Canis lupus familiaris: one gene and its partners. The protein of the gene in region 2 purifies or fractionates together with the protein of the main gene of each other region. This does not show direct contact. Links are inferred from orthologs where the notes say so. Each region holds a gene or a part of one and is shown on either strand. Other genes may lie near its edges.

Region 1 (4,183 bases), on a different chromosome or scaffold from region 2:
TCCTCTTAAAAAAAATTTTTTTTAAAAGATTTTATTTATTCATGAGAGACAGAGACACAGAGGGAGAAGCAGACTCCCTGCGGGGAGCCCTATGTAAGACTCAATCCAAGGACCCCAGGATCACACCCTGAGCCACAGGCAGACACTCAACCACTGAGCCACCCAGGTGCCCCTATCCTCTTAAATCTTCCCTAACCCTTACTTCCCCAAGCCCTGGAGTGGCTGCATGCCTTCTGCCCCAGGCTCCTGGCCCTGGGCTAAATGAAACCACCACTTAGCTCCAAGATGCCCAGGACCCAACCAAACCACACGGAGACATTCCAAATAACTCCACCAGAGACGACCCCAGGGGCAGCCCCACACAGGAAACTAAAGGATTTGCAGCAAAGGAGGAGGAAGGAAATAACTTCCAAAGCCGTGACTGTCAAGCAGAGGCGAGCAGGTTATTAAGGGTGAGGGATGAATATCCAGGGAGAGCAGCTGTGTTCCCTGCGCAGGGGCGTCCATCAGGTTGCTCAGGTACAAGGTTGAAAACACCTTTACCTGCGCCCTGTCAGGGCAATGAGGCCCCTGCTCCCCCCGGGGGAGACCTTAACCTTGTGAGGGTGGGGCCAGGGGAAGGGGCGATTAGCGCCTCCCCCCCCCCTCCCCCGGGCCACGGGCTGGGGTCTTGGGCTCATCTCCGATGGGAACACCCGCCTTGCTCTTGGACCAGCCCTGGGACTTGTACCGCGAGGTTGAAGTCTGGGATGCGGTTCGGCCGCCCACGTAGTTCTGCATTCCCTTTTATTCCTTAAAATCCGTAACGACTAAGGCTTTTGCATCTGCGATTCTGACACCGCCTTAGGAGGTTCTTCGAGGAGCTGCTAGGAGTAGGGTGTGGGTGCCAAGAACAGCTGGAGGCCCCAAGTGACCTCTCCGGGGCCTTAAGAGCTCTCTTTTTCTGGGCCCCTCCCTCCTCCTCCCAGCTTCCTGGTCCCAGAACAATGCAAAGTCTTGGGAACTGGGTGCACGCTGGTGGGGGGGAGGGGCACACGCTGGGGGCCGTGTGTGTGCGCGTGCCGGGGCTGTGCATGCTGGGGAGGTGCACACAGGTGGTGTGCACGCCGGGGTGGTGTCCACGCTTGGTAAGGGTGGCGGGAATTCAGAGGGCCGGCCCCGGAGCGGAGCTACCCTCGGGGCTCGGGGTCCCGCGGGGAGACCCGGCGCCGGCGGCCCCGCTGACCTCGGCGGCCCCAGCAGAGGGCGCTGCCAGCCCGACGCCCCGGGCCGGCACTGCACAGGCGCGGAAGCGCTCCCGGGGAGGAGCGGGACTTCCGGCGGCGCGCGAGCCGGGATCCGGGCCTGGTTCGTCCTTCGCGCCCGCACGTGCGTTGCCGCGATGCTACCGCTGCTGCGCCGAGTGCCCCGCGCCCTGGGCTCGGCGGTCGCCGGGCTCCGCGCCGCCCCCGCCCTGCCGCCTCCGACCCTGCTGCGGCCCGCGCCCCGGCCGTGCGTGCGGCCCTTCGGGCTCCTCCCTGTGCGCGCGGGCCTCCTGCGCTCCCGCGGGCCCTGCGGCTGCGGCTGCGGCTGCGGCGGGCTGCACACCCAGGGTGAGGCTGGGGCGCGGCGGGGGCGGTGGTCCGGGGAGCCGCGGCCAGGGGGGCGGGGGCCCAAGGCCCCAAACTCACGACCCCCTGCAGTGGACGACTCCAGGTTAATCCCACGTGGCTTGAGGTTTCCTGCCTTAATCCCGAGAGTGGTGGCTCCCTGGCTGGCGGTGATGCTTCTAAACCCCGGCAGCCGGCTCTATCCTGAGCCTCGGAGGTGGATTCGGGGAGGCGGCTGGTCAGAGTTAAAAGCAGGGGAGGTCGTGTGTGGTCTGGGGCGGGTAACGGGAATCGCCTGGCTTCGCTGTGAAATGCGGTGATGGGCTCGTTGCTGGAAGTCATTTTTCCAGAATTGAGCTCAGCCTCCTGCCACGGGTGTCCAGCCCGTTTCCAGGTTGGGAACCGAGGCCCCGTGGGTCTGACTCCGTGCCCAGAGCCTCCGTAACAGCACAAGCATCAGAATCGGTCGAGGCCAGGTTTCCCACAGCAATCACCCCAAGTCGTTTGTTGGTTTAAGACTGACTGGTTTTTCTTTTTCTGTATCTTATGGGTTTTCATTGCAGGGGACAAAGCTTTCGTCGAGTTCCTGAATGATGAGATTAAGGAGGAAAAGAAAATACAGAAGCACAAGTCCCTCCCCAAAATGTCTGGGGGCTGGGAGCTAGACATGAATGGGACGGAGGCCAAGTTAGTGCGGAAAGTAGCTGGAGAAAAGTAAGTGTGGGCTGCAGGGGGTCCCTCTGACCCGGCGCAGCCTCCCCGATCTTCCAGGGATGCCTTAGAGCAGGTCCCCGGACACATGATTTCCAGGTGCCTCATTCACTGCACGCAGATTGGCTGAGCGTGGATTTATTAAGGAAGGAAGGATGTCCTGGTAAGGAAGGCCCTGCCTGACCCAGGCACGCATATCAGAAAGTCTTCTTAAGATTTCATTTACTATTATTATAATTTTTTAAGATTTTATTTATGCATGAGAGACATAGAGAGAGGCAGAGACACAGGCAGAGGGAGAAGCAGCCTCCATGCAGGGAGCCCAACATGGGACTTGATCCCAGGTCCCCAGGATCCCCTCCGGCTGAAGGTGGCGCTAAACTGCTGAGCCACCAGGGCTGCCCTATTTTTGAGAGAGAGAGCACGCACATGGGCAGAGGGAGAAGCAGGCTCTCCTCCTGAGCAGGGTGCCCTATGGGAGCTGGAGCTCGACCCCAGGACCCTGGGATCACCACCAGAGCCAACCCCAGACCCTTCACCAACCAAGCCACAGAGGTGCCCCCGACTGAGATTTGTGCAGTTCTGACGGATTGGGTGCCGCCTCTGCAGTGCAGGGTTCTGGCCGAGGGAAACCCGGCCCTCCCCCTGACATTTGACGTTTACAGTGGGGAGAACCAGCCTGTGGCCCCCATGTGCGTGGATGAAGCCACATGTGCTTAGTGTCCCCGTTAGAAAGGTACAGAACTTTCCATTTGCTTCACCTCTTCACCATCCCTTTTTTGAGTAAAGTTCTGAGATGTTGTGAACTGGGATCTGATTCTTTCTTTGCCTTTATTTGCCATGTTTTTTTTTCCTGCATAACTTCCCCTAAACCATTTTCTGAGGGTAACGTGTAGCCAGTGGAGTAAATATAATGTTCTAGTGAATAGAGCGGCACCTCTGTGCCCAGGTGCTCAGTGTGGTCAGCACCGCGGCACATTAGATAGGTTTTGTAGCTGAATGTGACACCAGCATCCCTGTACGGGAGCAACTCCAAGCACACCGGCAGGGGGGTCCCGAGTACACCCACGGAGTGGGGGAGCTGGCACCTACCTGCGCTGGGCACTCAGACTCGGAGCACAATTTGTCAGGGGAGGGTTCTGTAGCGGAAGACTGTCATGAGGTGGGTGTTTCCAGGCTGCTTCCTCACGATATGGAACTTCCCACAAGTATTTTAAAGAATGGATTTAGGGGGGGCGGGGGCTCAGTGGTTGAGCATCTGTCTTTGGCTCAGGTCGTGATCTCAGGGTCCTGGGATCGAGTTCCAGGTCGGGCTTTCTACTCAGCAGGGTATCTGCTTCTCCCTCTGCCCCTCCCACTGTTCGTGCTCTCTCAAATAAATATATTTTTAAAAACAGCTCTGGCAGCTGTGTTGACGGGGAGCCCCCTCCCCGGGGCCTATCCTGGCCCTCTCATAGCAGCACCCTTGTGTGCCTCTCTTCCCCTGTCCCTCTGGGCAGATCTCATGGAGTAAAGTTCTTACGAGAGGCTACCTGCTGTCCCAGCACCCTCTGCTGCTCACTGCCACCGAATGGCTGGTGGCCAGGAGCCCTGGGTTGGCAGGGTGGGGGGGCAGTTAGTAACCCACTGCGTCTGCACGTGGCGGAGACAAGGAGATAAAGTGGGGCCTGTGGGTTTATTTTTTATTTTTTTTTTAAGATTTTATTTATTTATTCATGAGAATACACAGAGAGGAGAGAGAGAAGCAGAGACACAGGCAGAGGGAGAAGCAGGCTCCATGCAGGGAGCCCAATGTGGGACTCGATCCCAGGTCTCCAGGATCACACCCAGGGCTGCAGACAGCACCAAACCACTGAACCACCAGGGCTGCCCGGCCTGTGGGT
Region 2 (3,591 bases):
CAACACCCTTTTACTGTCTCTTCTGTTGTCTTTCTACCCCAAGTGTGGTCCATGTACCAAAATCATCATCACTTGAGTCTGTTAGAAATGCAGGGTCACAGGTCACAACCTGAACCCACCCACTGATTAGAATCTGGATTTGAATATGCATATTAAGCATAAGAAGCCCTGCTATATTTGCAGCCCTTTACCAACATAAGGCAAAATGTTTTTTTTATAAAATGTAAATTAAAATATTAACTAATGTTGTCTAAAAAGTATTAAAAGTTACAATACTGCAGGTTAATAAAATGTTAATGATATGATTTAGTAATAGGCAGTATGTTGATAAATGGTTTTAATAATAGTCCTATTTTACATTTGAAATATTTTCATAAGAAAATGTTTGGAGAAAAGCTATCGATATTATAGTCATGTTTTATGAATACCTCCTCTATAGGAGAAATCAAGAGGTCTGGTTAGAGAAGACCAGTAAAAAGAAGACAAAAACTAAACTTTTCCCAGTCTTTGGGACCTGGGAATAGATTTGAATGAAATCTTAATTCCACTAAACTCAAGTGAAGTGCTGTATACAACATCATTCTTTAACCTATAAATCAGGTTTTAGAATGAGATATTTGTACTATAATCAAGCTACAGAAATTTAGCTTTTAATCCCTAAAGAAGAGAATTCATTATTTCTTCAGTGTGTATCAAATTTGTACAATCAGGAAGCAGTAAATGTGATCTTCCACTAAGAAAACAGACACATAATATTAGCTAAAAGATGGTTAAAATTAACCATTAAGATGGTTTAAAATTTTTACCCTTTTACAAATTCAATAAAAGTTACAGAATACCTGTTTTTATACATTTAAACAAGTATTCATCAATTTTCTTAATTCCTAGCATTTAGAAGTTAATTCCACAAAATTGGCTTTGTGGGTTCACAGGTACTAAACTAGCAGAGCCCAAAATAAATGTTCGTCTTGAAGGGAATATAACTGATCAATTTTTAATATATGAAAATTATATTCCATCATATCTTTATGTATTCCTTTCTAGAATTTTCTATACGTTAAACTCTCATTTCATACAAACAGGTTAAATAATGTCAACTGAAATTATTTTACCTAGAGAAAAAGTTACTTTTAAAAATGAAGATAATTTTTAAAATTCAGAGTCAATCTAGCATTAATTTTTCTCAGAACACCACAGTAAATGAATAACTGAGAATTTCTATTTACTTTCTAAATATTTTTTGCTTAATGAAAACTTCCTCCAAAAATAAATGTATCTAAATATAATTCTAGCAAAGTAAAATTCTTCAAATACAATAGAATTTAATCTAGAAACACATGACATAATACTCTTCAAAACACTTCTAAAATAGGAAACTCAGTATTTGTTCCCAATCTTTGACTTTATAAATATAACAGTTGAAAAAAAAAAAAATCCCTACATTTCTTGAATGCTTAATGCAAGATGTGCTGAGTTGAACAGAAATATTCATATGTGGAAAGAAACCAAAGCCAAAAGCAATACCATGGACACTGGATTAAAAAATGCTGCCCTTTCCTATCCTTAAGAGAACATTTGCTAAATAAACATTGTTTTATTCTCTATTTTAGCATGATGGGAAGAAAAATTAAGTTACATGAAATGATATAACAGTTATGCAATCAGGTATGTACATTTATCAATGTTCTTGCCTTCCTGCCCTCAAAATGATGTTATCAGAATATATGTTAGCAAATTACGACTGATGATTAAAATTATTTGATATAGTTTATGGAGAATCGACTCATATTTATTAAAATTTTACTTACCTGTCTTGTCTTTGCTGATGTTTCAATAAAAGGAATTCCATAACTTCTTGCTAAGTCCTGAGCCTGTTTTGTGTCTACTGTTCTAGAAGGCAAATCACATTTATTTCCTACTAGGACCATAGGTACATCTTCAGAGTCTTTAACTCTTTTAATTTGTTCTCTGGGGAGGAAAAAAAAGTTATAGCAGAGACATTAGTAACAAAATAAATCTTTCAAAAATTATCCATAATTTTGTCTTATAAAACATGGCTGAAAGAAGACATTTAATTAATTCCTGATTTCCAACCACACCAAATTTTCCTTGCTTTTCCTTTTGTTTTCTTCTCCAACTTAAACAGAGAATTTCTATGTCTCTTAAAAGATAAAATACCCAGAAATATAGTAAAACTACAACTTAATAGGTCCATATGCAGGTAGGTCACAATGATAAAACAGGAAATACTGAAAAATTCGGCTAAAAATGTGCTGTGCCTAATTTTTAAAATTATAATCTTAGAAACATATATTAAATGTTATTATATACATATAGAATTTTATGACATAATTTTCACATATTTTTCTCAAAAAAGAGCACCAATTGGAAAGACTCTGATTTCTACATGGTTAACATTGACCTTACTACACTGTTTATTCTGTTACAAATCCTTCTACAAATTGGGTTGGTTTTTTTTTTTTTCTATAAGATGTGCATAAACTCTTAATTTGGGGTAAAATTATATTCTTTCACAATTTTAGGTGAATTTCAAAGATACAGCATGAAATAGGAACAATGGAGTCAGAACTGTTTCAAATTCCCAGTTCCTCTACTCAATAGCTAAGTTAACTTTACAGCTTAACATACTGACATCTATTTACTATTCTAAAAAAAGTCACCTGTTAAAATTTCTTTTTCTGGGATCCCTGGGTGGCGCAGCGGTTTGGCGCCTGCCTTTGGCCCAGGGCGCGATCCTGGAGACCCGGGATCGAATCCCACGTCAGGCTCCCACTGCATGGAGCCTGCTTCTCCCTCTGCCTGTGTCTCTGCCTCTCTCTCTCTCTCTCTGTGACTATCATAAATAAATAAAAATTTTAAAAAAAAATTTCTTTTTCTCTATCACTAGACTACAAACAAAACACGCTGTAAGAAATGTATTTAATAAAATGTCATACCTCTCAAATAGGCTAACTCACTATTATAGAACATAGTTAATGAATGGGATATTTAATATGCACTTTTTTGAAAACCATAAACCCTCAGAGAAATAGAATATAAAGTATATTTAATACAGTAACAATTATTTTAAAGTAGTCGATTTTATGCAGATTTGTCACTTTACAGATTGTAATTATTCTAATATTTCAATCTTTTACAACTCCAGAGTTTTTCTTAACTATCTAAAGCCAATGTTTATCCAGTTCCAAGAAATTCTACACTATATTCGATTATCTTTAAGGCTATTTGAGTGGTACCACCTCTATGACCTTTTCATATTCATGTTGATGGTTTTCATTTTTATGATGGCTCTAGCTTAAAGCCTTGTGACCACAGTGTACAGCAGTTAAGAGCACAGGTTTTGAAGTCAAACAAGCCAAGGTTTCAATTCCAGTACCACTATCTACACAATCTGGAACAAGTTACTCAACTGTTCTAATCCTCAACAACTCCATTTGTAAAACAGGGGTACATTACATACCTCATTATTATTTTAAAATTTAGACAATTTATGCATGGTAATCAGCAAAGACTCAATAAAATGAAAAGATATAATTAGCCCTCGATGTCATTTTATTATATTCAATTTAA
Region 3 (4,355 bases), on a different chromosome or scaffold from region 2:
AAGTGGGTTGACCCAGAGAATTAGTACTTGGAATGAGTAATGATGTACTTTTAAAGCCAACCCTATTTTTTCCTCTAAGGTGTCTAGTGGATAAAGACCAGGGATAAAGTATTTAAAATTCTGATCAAAGTTAACTTTATCTTCACACTTGAAAGGCTGATGGTCACCATTTTCCCAATTCTAGCATTAGTTACTAGCTTACAAACCTTAAGGTAAAGTCTTATTTGCCTAATGTTCAATTTCCATCAGTTTTCATATAGACCAGAGTAAATACCATTAACTGACTGCTTAGTATGAAATTCGGTATTCTACATTAAGTTGTGGGATAAAACCAGGAGCCTCCACTTTTTATGTGGATTTCAATGGTACTGTGGAGGAAACCCATGCAATTTTGCTTCCATTGTGCAGAATTATTTTCATTTTTAAGAAAACCTTCTTACAACAGGTTTGTTCAATTTTTTAAAAATGGTGGCATTCTTTCCAAAGCAGCAGTTACATAATTGGAACACTGGATTCAATCTAAAAATGTGTTTCCTATTTAACACTGTTCTGCATACGATCACGATTAAAGATTAGGATATTTTTTCACATTTCTAAGCAAAATCCAGTTTAAAAAGGTTGTTCTTACCAAACCCCTAAAAACGGCCATTTGAGAGTAAACCAGAGCATCTCAGCACCCCATGAAGCTGTAGGTTTCATTACATGCACCAACAAATCTACATGGCTAGCTTCTGCATTCCACTTTTACAGAATTTATTTTACACCTATTATACCAAACAGCATTTTAAACACTGACATATAAACTCCCTAATAAGATAAAGCAAAGACAAAAGCGTTTATCTTATTAGAAACAAGATACACCATCACTTATAGTCTTCAAACATTATTGCACTTTTCATAATTTGACAATGCATTCATGGGACAATCTGCAGACAACTAATTTTAACAGACAAATTAAAGAACACTTTTAAGCAGACATGACTGTCCTAAATTGTTTATTAGGTAAGAATTTTACAAACATTACTTATATTAGCGGTAACGGTGGAGCTGGAGAGTATTGCGCCTTCTCCATGCCGCACGGCGAGAACCACCAATAGTGTGGTGGAACTTGTGACCCTTCCCAAGGCCACGACTCTTGCGGCCTGCAGAGGTCAGCCCTCGCATCTCCCTGTGTTTGTGGACTGGTTTGGTGATCCACTGGGTGTCAGGATTTCTTCTGATAGCTTTATGGAATGGATCAATGAGGATAACCTCAAAGAATTTGTATGTGGAATCTTCGCCAACCCAATAAGAATTCAAGACTCTCAGAGCTCCGCAGTGGCGTCCAGCTCGCTCCTAGAACAGGAAAAAAGGCCCAAGGTCAGCCTCCCATTTCCCACAGTAGGAAGTTAGGAAGTAGGAATTCCCTTTAATTTACCACACTAGGCAAGAGACAAGGCTGTTCACTAACTGCTTGAATATTTACTAAAGATTTACCCAGGGGTTAGGACCCCAAATACAGTTAAGACTTACTGAAGTAACACACAAAACATTCTATAACTTTAAACCATTGCTACTATCACCACCCCCCCCCCCCCCGACTAAGGCACGAATGCTAATTTCTATTAAAATTGAGGAACTTAGTCTTTCCCTAACACAGTTGAGGGATCAACAAACCTTTCATACAGAACCCTAATATTTAGCACATTATTTTAGGCTTTGCAAGCCACAAGTCTCTAGTTTAAGTCATCTTTGCCTTTTCTTTTAAAAACAAAACATTTTTAGCTTACAGAAGGTAACAAACCCTTGCTTGTCAACCTCTGGGGCAGACAGAGCACAGCTTCATTTAATGCAGAAAAACAACTTACAACCAAATATAGAAAATCAGCCATATGCACAGCTTCTGTGCATCCAGGGGAGATGTGCTCTCAAGACCAAGTTTACTGCCCTTCAAAAGCTTAGGTTCCAAGGTCCACATTAATCATAAAACTTTCCATTATACAGAGACAGATTAGTAACAAAGACTAAGACCGACAGCAATGCTTTACTAAGACAGCTCAGTAAAAATCACAAACACAACAGGGTTCACCTACGTACAAGTTAATAATTAGAAAAGGTGCTCAAAAAAAAAGAAAAGTTGCTCAAATCCTTCTCCACTACCTCCAGGTGACTGATACAACTGCTACTGAAAAATCACTTACCTCTGCAACAGACTGAAGGCTTCGGGCAAACTTTAGCTGGTTAACACCATGATGGACAGGCTTGCCATAGGTAGCACCCTTAGGAACTGGGCGTTTGCGGCCACCACGACGCACACGAATCCGATATATGACATAACCTATACAAACAAATCGACAGTGGTCTTATATAAGCCAAATAATAAATATCTGAAGGTAAAACAAATATCCATTTAAGACTTACTCTAAAAATAAACCCATTCCAGTGTTTCTCGAAGTACACACGGAGAATAATTTCTCATTCCCACTCTACAATTTATTTTGCTTTAGTCCGATTCCTACAGACTTGTAACGCAGAACGTCTTTGGTACTTTATAGACAATTGTGTTCAGTGTTTATCGGTCAAGAATTTCTGTGCGTTGCTAGCTGAAGACAGTTTCTACCAACACCTTAAGTGAAAGAAGACATTGGGGCCACAGTACACCTAATTACCAGCTTCCTAACATTCCCCGAGGAACATCATCTGATCCATGCAGAGACCACTCACCTTGCTTGGCCTTGTAGCCCAGTCTGCGCGCTTTATCGGGCCGGGTTGGGCGGGGGGCCCTGTGGAGCGCAGAGAGCTGGCGATACTGCCAGCAGCGCACCCGGAGAAGAAAGCGCATGACGTCGGACTGCTTCTTCCTCCATAGCTCCTGGATGTACTTGTACGCACCCATCTCGGCCTACCCTGGAGACAAAAAACACCATGCATTTAAAATGAGACGACCGCGTCCGTCCATCTTAGTTCCCCACCCGCCATAAGGAAACCGGAGACTGAAAATGGCTCTTCGCGAACTGCAGGGGATAGCTGCGCCCTAGGAGCACGGCTGTCACCTCTGCGACCCCAGCGCAGGGACTCGGTACATTTCTGTCGGACGAACGGATGGCGCTAGATGGGCATGGGGGCGGGGAGGCTGCTGAATGCAGCGGGCGGCGTCCCCAAGGCCCTGGCCTGCAAAGAGACCTCGCTGATGCCCTAGGGAAGGTACTGTAGCCGCTGCCCCTGAAGGAGGACTCTCGAGGAAAAAGCCCTTACTCCACTCAACCCACAGGCCTCGCTCGCTTTAGGACCCTCTTGGCCCGGCCTTCCGTCCCTCAGCCTCAGGCTTCCTTTCCTTCACGCTCCCGGCCCCGCTCGAATTCGCGCCGCCATCACATCACCGCCCCAGCCCGCCCGGGGGCCGCCTCCGCACGCCCGCGCAGCCCCGCATCCTGACCGAACTCGCGCCGCACAGGTGGCAGGAGGAGCTCCGAGGACACAGGGTCCCCGAGTCTGGATGGCTGAGGCAAAGACCGATGAGCGGCGGATGGAGCAGCGAATTCTACCAACACACAGCCTACCTGATGGCTGCCGCCAGACGGAAAGGAAAGAGCCCTTCTCCCACAATCCTTTTTGGGCTCCTCCCCCACAGCGGCGAGCCTCTTTCCGGTGGAAGGCTGCGGCTCCCACAGCCTCATGGGACATGTAGTTCGGTGCAGCCCGCGGTGGGCGGAGCTCGGCCGGGATTGGGCGCAGCCTCCCCTCTTATCCCGCCCCCCGATCCTCAGGATTTGAGTTTGAGAGGCTGGGGCGGCCGAGAGGGCGGCAGTCCTCGGGAGGCGGCGGCGGGCGAGCGTCCAAGGCCGTCCTGCAGCCGGGAGGAGGCCGGTCGGGGGCGGGGCTCAGGGGGCCGAAGCCGGGGTGGAATCGCTCTGCCACAGCGCCGCTGTCTTTGGAGCCTGCGGAGCGGGTGTACAGGTGTGTGTCTTGAGGGACCGGGCGCCGCTTCGTGCACCGCAGGCTCCTTACCTGAGGAGCCGCAGCGGCTTCCCCGGGGCGGCGCTCCCCGTCCCCCTTCGCCCGGTAGCCGGGACCCCGACGCGCTCTGACAGACCCTCGTGGCGCTGCCCCGGCCGCCAGACAGGACGTTCGCGCTGCCAGGGCTTCGCGGTGGGGCGAGCGCCCGCCCCGGACTTCACCCCCGCAGGCCCGGGTTCCGGGGGATTTTGCCCCAGAGGAGGGTCGGAGGGTGGGGAACCGGGGCGCCAGGGCCGCGAGCGCGGGCGGCTCGGCGCCTTTTCGTTTCCGTGCCTTTGCTGCGTACCGACTTCTAGATTTGCTACGTCAGAACCAATTTTTTTTTTTTTTTTTTTAGAAAGGCAAAATATTTTTGTGCC
Region 4 (4,218 bases), on a different chromosome or scaffold from region 2:
AGGTTATACATACTCTCACTCAATCATGTAAAGAATTGAATTCTTTATTTGTGATATCCATAAACGATGCTATTCTATATTTCTAACCAGGAAGGCAATTTTCTCCTATATCATTGTTTTGTTTTGTTTTTTTTTATAAACAACAACTTGAATTCTATTGCATGAAAGGGCTACAAATATACATTTGTTAACCAAGCAGAATACACAAATACTTTGCTTTACAACTTGCACCTAAGATACCAGTACACGTAGCTGGTTCATTAGTTGTCATAGCAATTTCGGGCCACTGCCCAAGCTATGCGTAGCAGTTTACATTTTCAAATCTTGTGTAGAAAGGGCAATTGTGATATGGACTGTTAACTACATTCCCATAAAGCCCATCTTCGTTACAAGTAAACGTGTAACCAAAGTCTGCACAGATCTTTGATGGCAAAATTTCTAAATCTGATGCAATTATCCTAAACAAGTTTTTAAAACAAATGGTTTTTGCAGAGATACTGCCATTCTGCCAGTAGATGGTGCTACAAAGGTTGGGGGAAGGATTTCCAAGAGGACAACAGTTCAGCTATAGGAAAAAACGTTTAAACCTGCTCTGAAAATACAAAAATGCATTTAGTTTAAGGGTAAAATATAACCCTTCTTTGTAACCATTTATTACAGACAAACCAGTAAGAGGGATGAAACTAGGCCATCTGAAAAATTTTAAACAGTTTATATGAATGAAAACACATGCTTAACACAAACTATTTCTTTTTGAACTACCAGTACATACTTTGAAGTAAATTCTCATAGAAAGAAGTGACCAACCATGTCAAGATAAGCAAATCGCTTAGTATGAGATGGATGCACAGAAACTTTGAAGATTTTAAAAAACTACATCCACCACTTCAAAAGTTTTGCCTGTAGGGATAAAACTCAACACGTCACTAGAAGAGCAACAGGAAAAAAAAAAAAAGCCACCAAAGGACCTTTTAAAAGTGTCTTCAAGTACACATCAAGAATTTAGAATTAACACGAAAAAATTTTAACTAATATCCCTTAAAACGGTACGTAATAGATCCTAGAAAAAAAATGTTAGACATATACGGTCAAACACAATGATTTATTAAAAATAAAACGTAAAAATGATTTTTGTACATATGTGTCCAAATTTCAGGCATGGGATCCAAGTAGATTTCATAGAAAACGCTGTAGCCAGATATCAAGTCCTTACAACAAAGTAAACTACCCCCCCCCAACCCCCGCCCAGGTTTTGCTACAGAATCAGCAAGTTCACTCCCTCCCCCCCCAAAAAAAAAAACACAAATTAAAACAAGACATTTTGCTAGTATAAAAACGACCAAGGTCCAAGTAATAATAAAAAAATAGAGTCCATCAATGACTGTAACACAAAAATGTGTATGTGGGGCCGAGTCCATCTTCAGAGGGAGAGACAAGAGAGGTGGCAGGCAAATAGGGCAACACCCCCAAGGATAAGCAGCCTTAGAAGCGGCTCCCCCAAGGGCAAAACGGGGAAGGCGGTGGTGGGAGAGTAAAGAACGTAGGAGTTACCCCAGCTGGGGTGTAGAAGAGCTACCCCTATAGCCACTCCCAGGCATATTTAGATTTCTTTTTAGAAGGAGCTGCCTCCATAACCACCGCCACCGCCGTAGCCGCCTCTGTAAGGTCCACTGTTACTGCGACCGCCCCAGCTGCTGCCACCGCCGCCGCCGCCGCCGCCGCCCTTCATGGGCCCGTAGGAGGACTGGTGCTGGCTGTAGCTGCCGAAGCCGCCGAAGCCGTTACCGTAGTCGCTCCCACCGTAGGACGAACCGCCTCCGCCGCCTCCGTAGGCATTGTAGCCGCCACCGCCGCCGCCGCCGCCGCCGTAACCACCGTAGCTGTTGTAACCGCCGCCGCCGCCGCCGCCGCCCTTGGACAGGCCGTTCTGGTCTCGACCCCCGCCGCGGCCCCGGCCGCCCCGGCCGCCCCGGGAGGACCGCGAGCCGCCTCCGCCCCCACCGGAGTGGATATCCTCCTTGGGCACGGCCTTCTTCACCTCCACGCGATGGCCCTGGATCGGGTGGAACTTGACAACCGCGGCCTTGTCTGCCGCGTCGTGATTCTGGAAATACACGAAGCCAAAGCCGCGCTTCTTGCCCGACTGCTTGTCGGCAATAATCTCGGCCTTTTCCACCGTGCCGAACTGCGAGAAGTGCTCGATCAGGTCGCCCTCCGCCACGTCTCCCTTAAGGCCCCCGACAAAGAGCTTCTTAACCTTGGCGTGGGCACCGGGCCGCGCCGAATCCTCCCGGGACACCGCCCGCTTCAGCTCCACCGTGTTGCCGTCCACGGCGTGGGGCGAGGCGGCCATGGCGGCATCGGCCTCCTCCACGTTGGAGTAGGTCACGAAGCCGAAGCAACGGGAGCGCTTGGTCTGGGGGTTCACCACCACCACGCAGTCCGTCAGAGTCCCAAAGGCCTCGAAGTGGCCGCGCAGGCCCGACTCACTCGTCTGCACGTTGAGGCCGCCGATGAACAGCTTGCACAACTGGGAATTCTCCATCTCCACGGCCCGGGCCTTCCCCCCGCCCTGCGAGCTCCGAGGTTTCGCCGTCGCCGTTATCGCTGGCTAAGGCCTCCTCACAGCTTGGGCCCAGCCGTTGCTGGAGCCGCCACCGCCGTCACCGACGGGGAAGGGAGGAAGGGAAGGGGAGGGAAGGAGGAAGAGAGGAAGGGGGAGGGAAGGGGAGAGGTGCTGGCTAGAGGGCGAGCCGAGGAGACTGGAAGACAACCAAGGCCGTCACTACCGCCACCGCTACCGCTACCGCTACCGCCACCGCCGCCACCACCGCCGCCGCCGCCGCCGCCGCCTCCGCTCCCCTATCTGGGCACCACACAAAGAGGCCGCTGAACGCGCGCGCACCCTCCCCGAGGCGTGCGTCACCGCCGACGTACGGCCGCCCAGCGCCGCCCGCCAATCCCTGCGTCGCTCTCCCTAGTCCCGCCTACCGCGCCGCGGCGCCGCTCTCGGCCACCGACTCCCCGCCCTCCGCGGTCGATTCAAGCCTTCGGCCTGCGCGGCTCCCGCCGCCGCCTCTGTAGGCCGGGCTTCACGCCCCGGCTCCCCGGGTGCCCCGACCACGGACGCCCCCGGCTCCCCGCGCAGCTCCGCAATTCCTCTCCTCCCAGCCCCGCGGCTGTTCCCAGCGTGCTGCCCCCTCCCCTTGCCGTATCCCCTCGCCCCACTCCGCAGTGGCGTTCGCGCCAGCCCCTTGAGGGACGTGCGGCTGCAGCCAATCACCGCGATGCGCTCGCGCCCACTTCCGGTCTCGGCCGCCGCTGGACGGGCGCGCTCCCCGGTGCGCCCCCCGGGTGCAGAACCTGCCTGCCGCCCGGACGCTGCCCCTGGTCCCGGGCTTGGGGCGGGGGGGGGTCAGCGGGGGCGCGCCGGGGGCAGTTCCCAACGGATGCGACCTGGGGCGCGCCACGCGCGGGCTTTTTGAAAACTCGACTGTTGGGGTTGGGGGCCTGGGCTCCCCCGCCGCGGTTCGGCGGGGCCGCTACACCTGGCAGCCCGGCCGCCCCGCCCGCACAAAGATGGAGGGCAGAGGCCTGATCGGGAAAGGCGGTTACTGACGGTTTCCCGGGGGCCCGAGCCTCAGGTAAAGTGCAGCGCGGGCGCGTGGTGCCGCGCAGGGGCGAGCCCGAGGCCCGGCGGAGGTCGGCGGCGTGCCACCAGCGGCTCCGACTTCCCATCGAGGCGCGGCGCCAGACCCCCGCCACCCTCCGGCCCGAAGCCCACGCTCGCTCGCGCACAGCTGGCATTGCCCATTGACCGAGGGGAACACACCGTTTTCTATGTTGACGTTACCTGTGCGTTGCTTCCTTCCCAACCAAACCGTTAGCTTTTTTTTTTTAAAGGCATTTTATAACCTGGAGCCAAAGGAGTTGAAGGAAGCACGTAAATACCACGCCCCCCTGGTAACCGCCTTACCGACCCTCCCTCCCGTGCAAGAGAAAGTCAGGTATAAGGGCTTCCGCGTCCTGGACCTTCGTGTGCCTGTCAAGATCCAACGAGGGGGACGCTGGTACGAGACAGTGCATGACCAAGATTCCCGCCCCCCCCGCCCCAAGCCAGGTGGTAAATAGTGAAGAAGAGGTATTACTCCTCCCTGCACCTTGGAGTATTAAGGATTGAATGGTGAAACAAGTGGAACTTGCACTCAATATGGAATT

What was found. Proteins that work in one complex are often made in the same cells at the same time.
Region 1: the proteins of KRAS (region 2) and C1QBP purify together in Homo sapiens (affinity purification with mass spectrometry; 3 studies listed by BioGRID and IntAct, with this or other methods). This does not show direct contact. The link is inferred for Canis lupus familiaris from reciprocal best matches to the Homo sapiens genes KRAS and C1QBP.
Region 3: the proteins of KRAS (region 2) and RPL15 purify together in Homo sapiens (affinity purification with mass spectrometry; 3 studies listed by BioGRID and IntAct, with this or other methods). This does not show direct contact. The link is inferred for Canis lupus familiaris from reciprocal best matches to the Homo sapiens genes KRAS and RPL15.
Region 4: the proteins of KRAS (region 2) and HNRNPA0 purify together in Homo sapiens (affinity purification with mass spectrometry; 3 studies listed by BioGRID and IntAct, with this or other methods). This does not show direct contact. The link is inferred for Canis lupus familiaris from reciprocal best matches to the Homo sapiens genes KRAS and HNRNPA0.

The regions. Positions count from the first base shown.
Region 1 is NC_049226.1:31,558,912-31,563,094, forward strand, and holds the start of C1QBP (complement component 1 Q subcomponent-binding protein, mitochondrial), read left to right. Parts: upstream 1-1,297; 5' UTR 1,298-1,381; coding exon 1,382-1,592; intron 1,593-2,152; coding exon 2,153-2,303; intron 2,304-4,183.
Region 2 is NC_049248.1:24,260,089-24,263,679, forward strand, and holds part of KRAS (GTPase KRas), read right to left. Parts: intron 1,969-3,591; coding exon 1,809-1,968; intron 1-1,808. UniProt on the Homo sapiens protein: Ras proteins bind GDP/GTP and possess intrinsic GTPase activity. Plays an important role in the regulation of cell proliferation.
Region 3 is NC_049244.1:20,166,885-20,171,239, forward strand, and holds the start of RPL15 (60S ribosomal protein L15), read right to left. Parts: upstream 2,887-4,355; 5' UTR 2,876-2,886; coding exon 2,704-2,875; intron 2,318-2,703; coding exon 2,181-2,317; intron 1,336-2,180; coding exon 1,030-1,335; 3' UTR 1-1,029. Other genes in the region: NKIRAS1 (NF-kappa-B inhibitor-interacting Ras-like protein 1), read left to right, coding at 3,495-3,936.
Region 4 is NC_049232.1:25,501,646-25,505,863, forward strand, and holds HNRNPA0 (heterogeneous nuclear ribonucleoprotein A0), read right to left. Parts: upstream 2,887-4,218; 5' UTR 2,546-2,886; coding exon 1,613-2,545; 3' UTR 29-1,612; downstream 1-28. UniProt on the Homo sapiens protein: mRNA-binding component of ribonucleosomes. Specifically binds AU-rich element (ARE)-containing mRNAs. Involved in post-transcriptional regulation of cytokines mRNAs.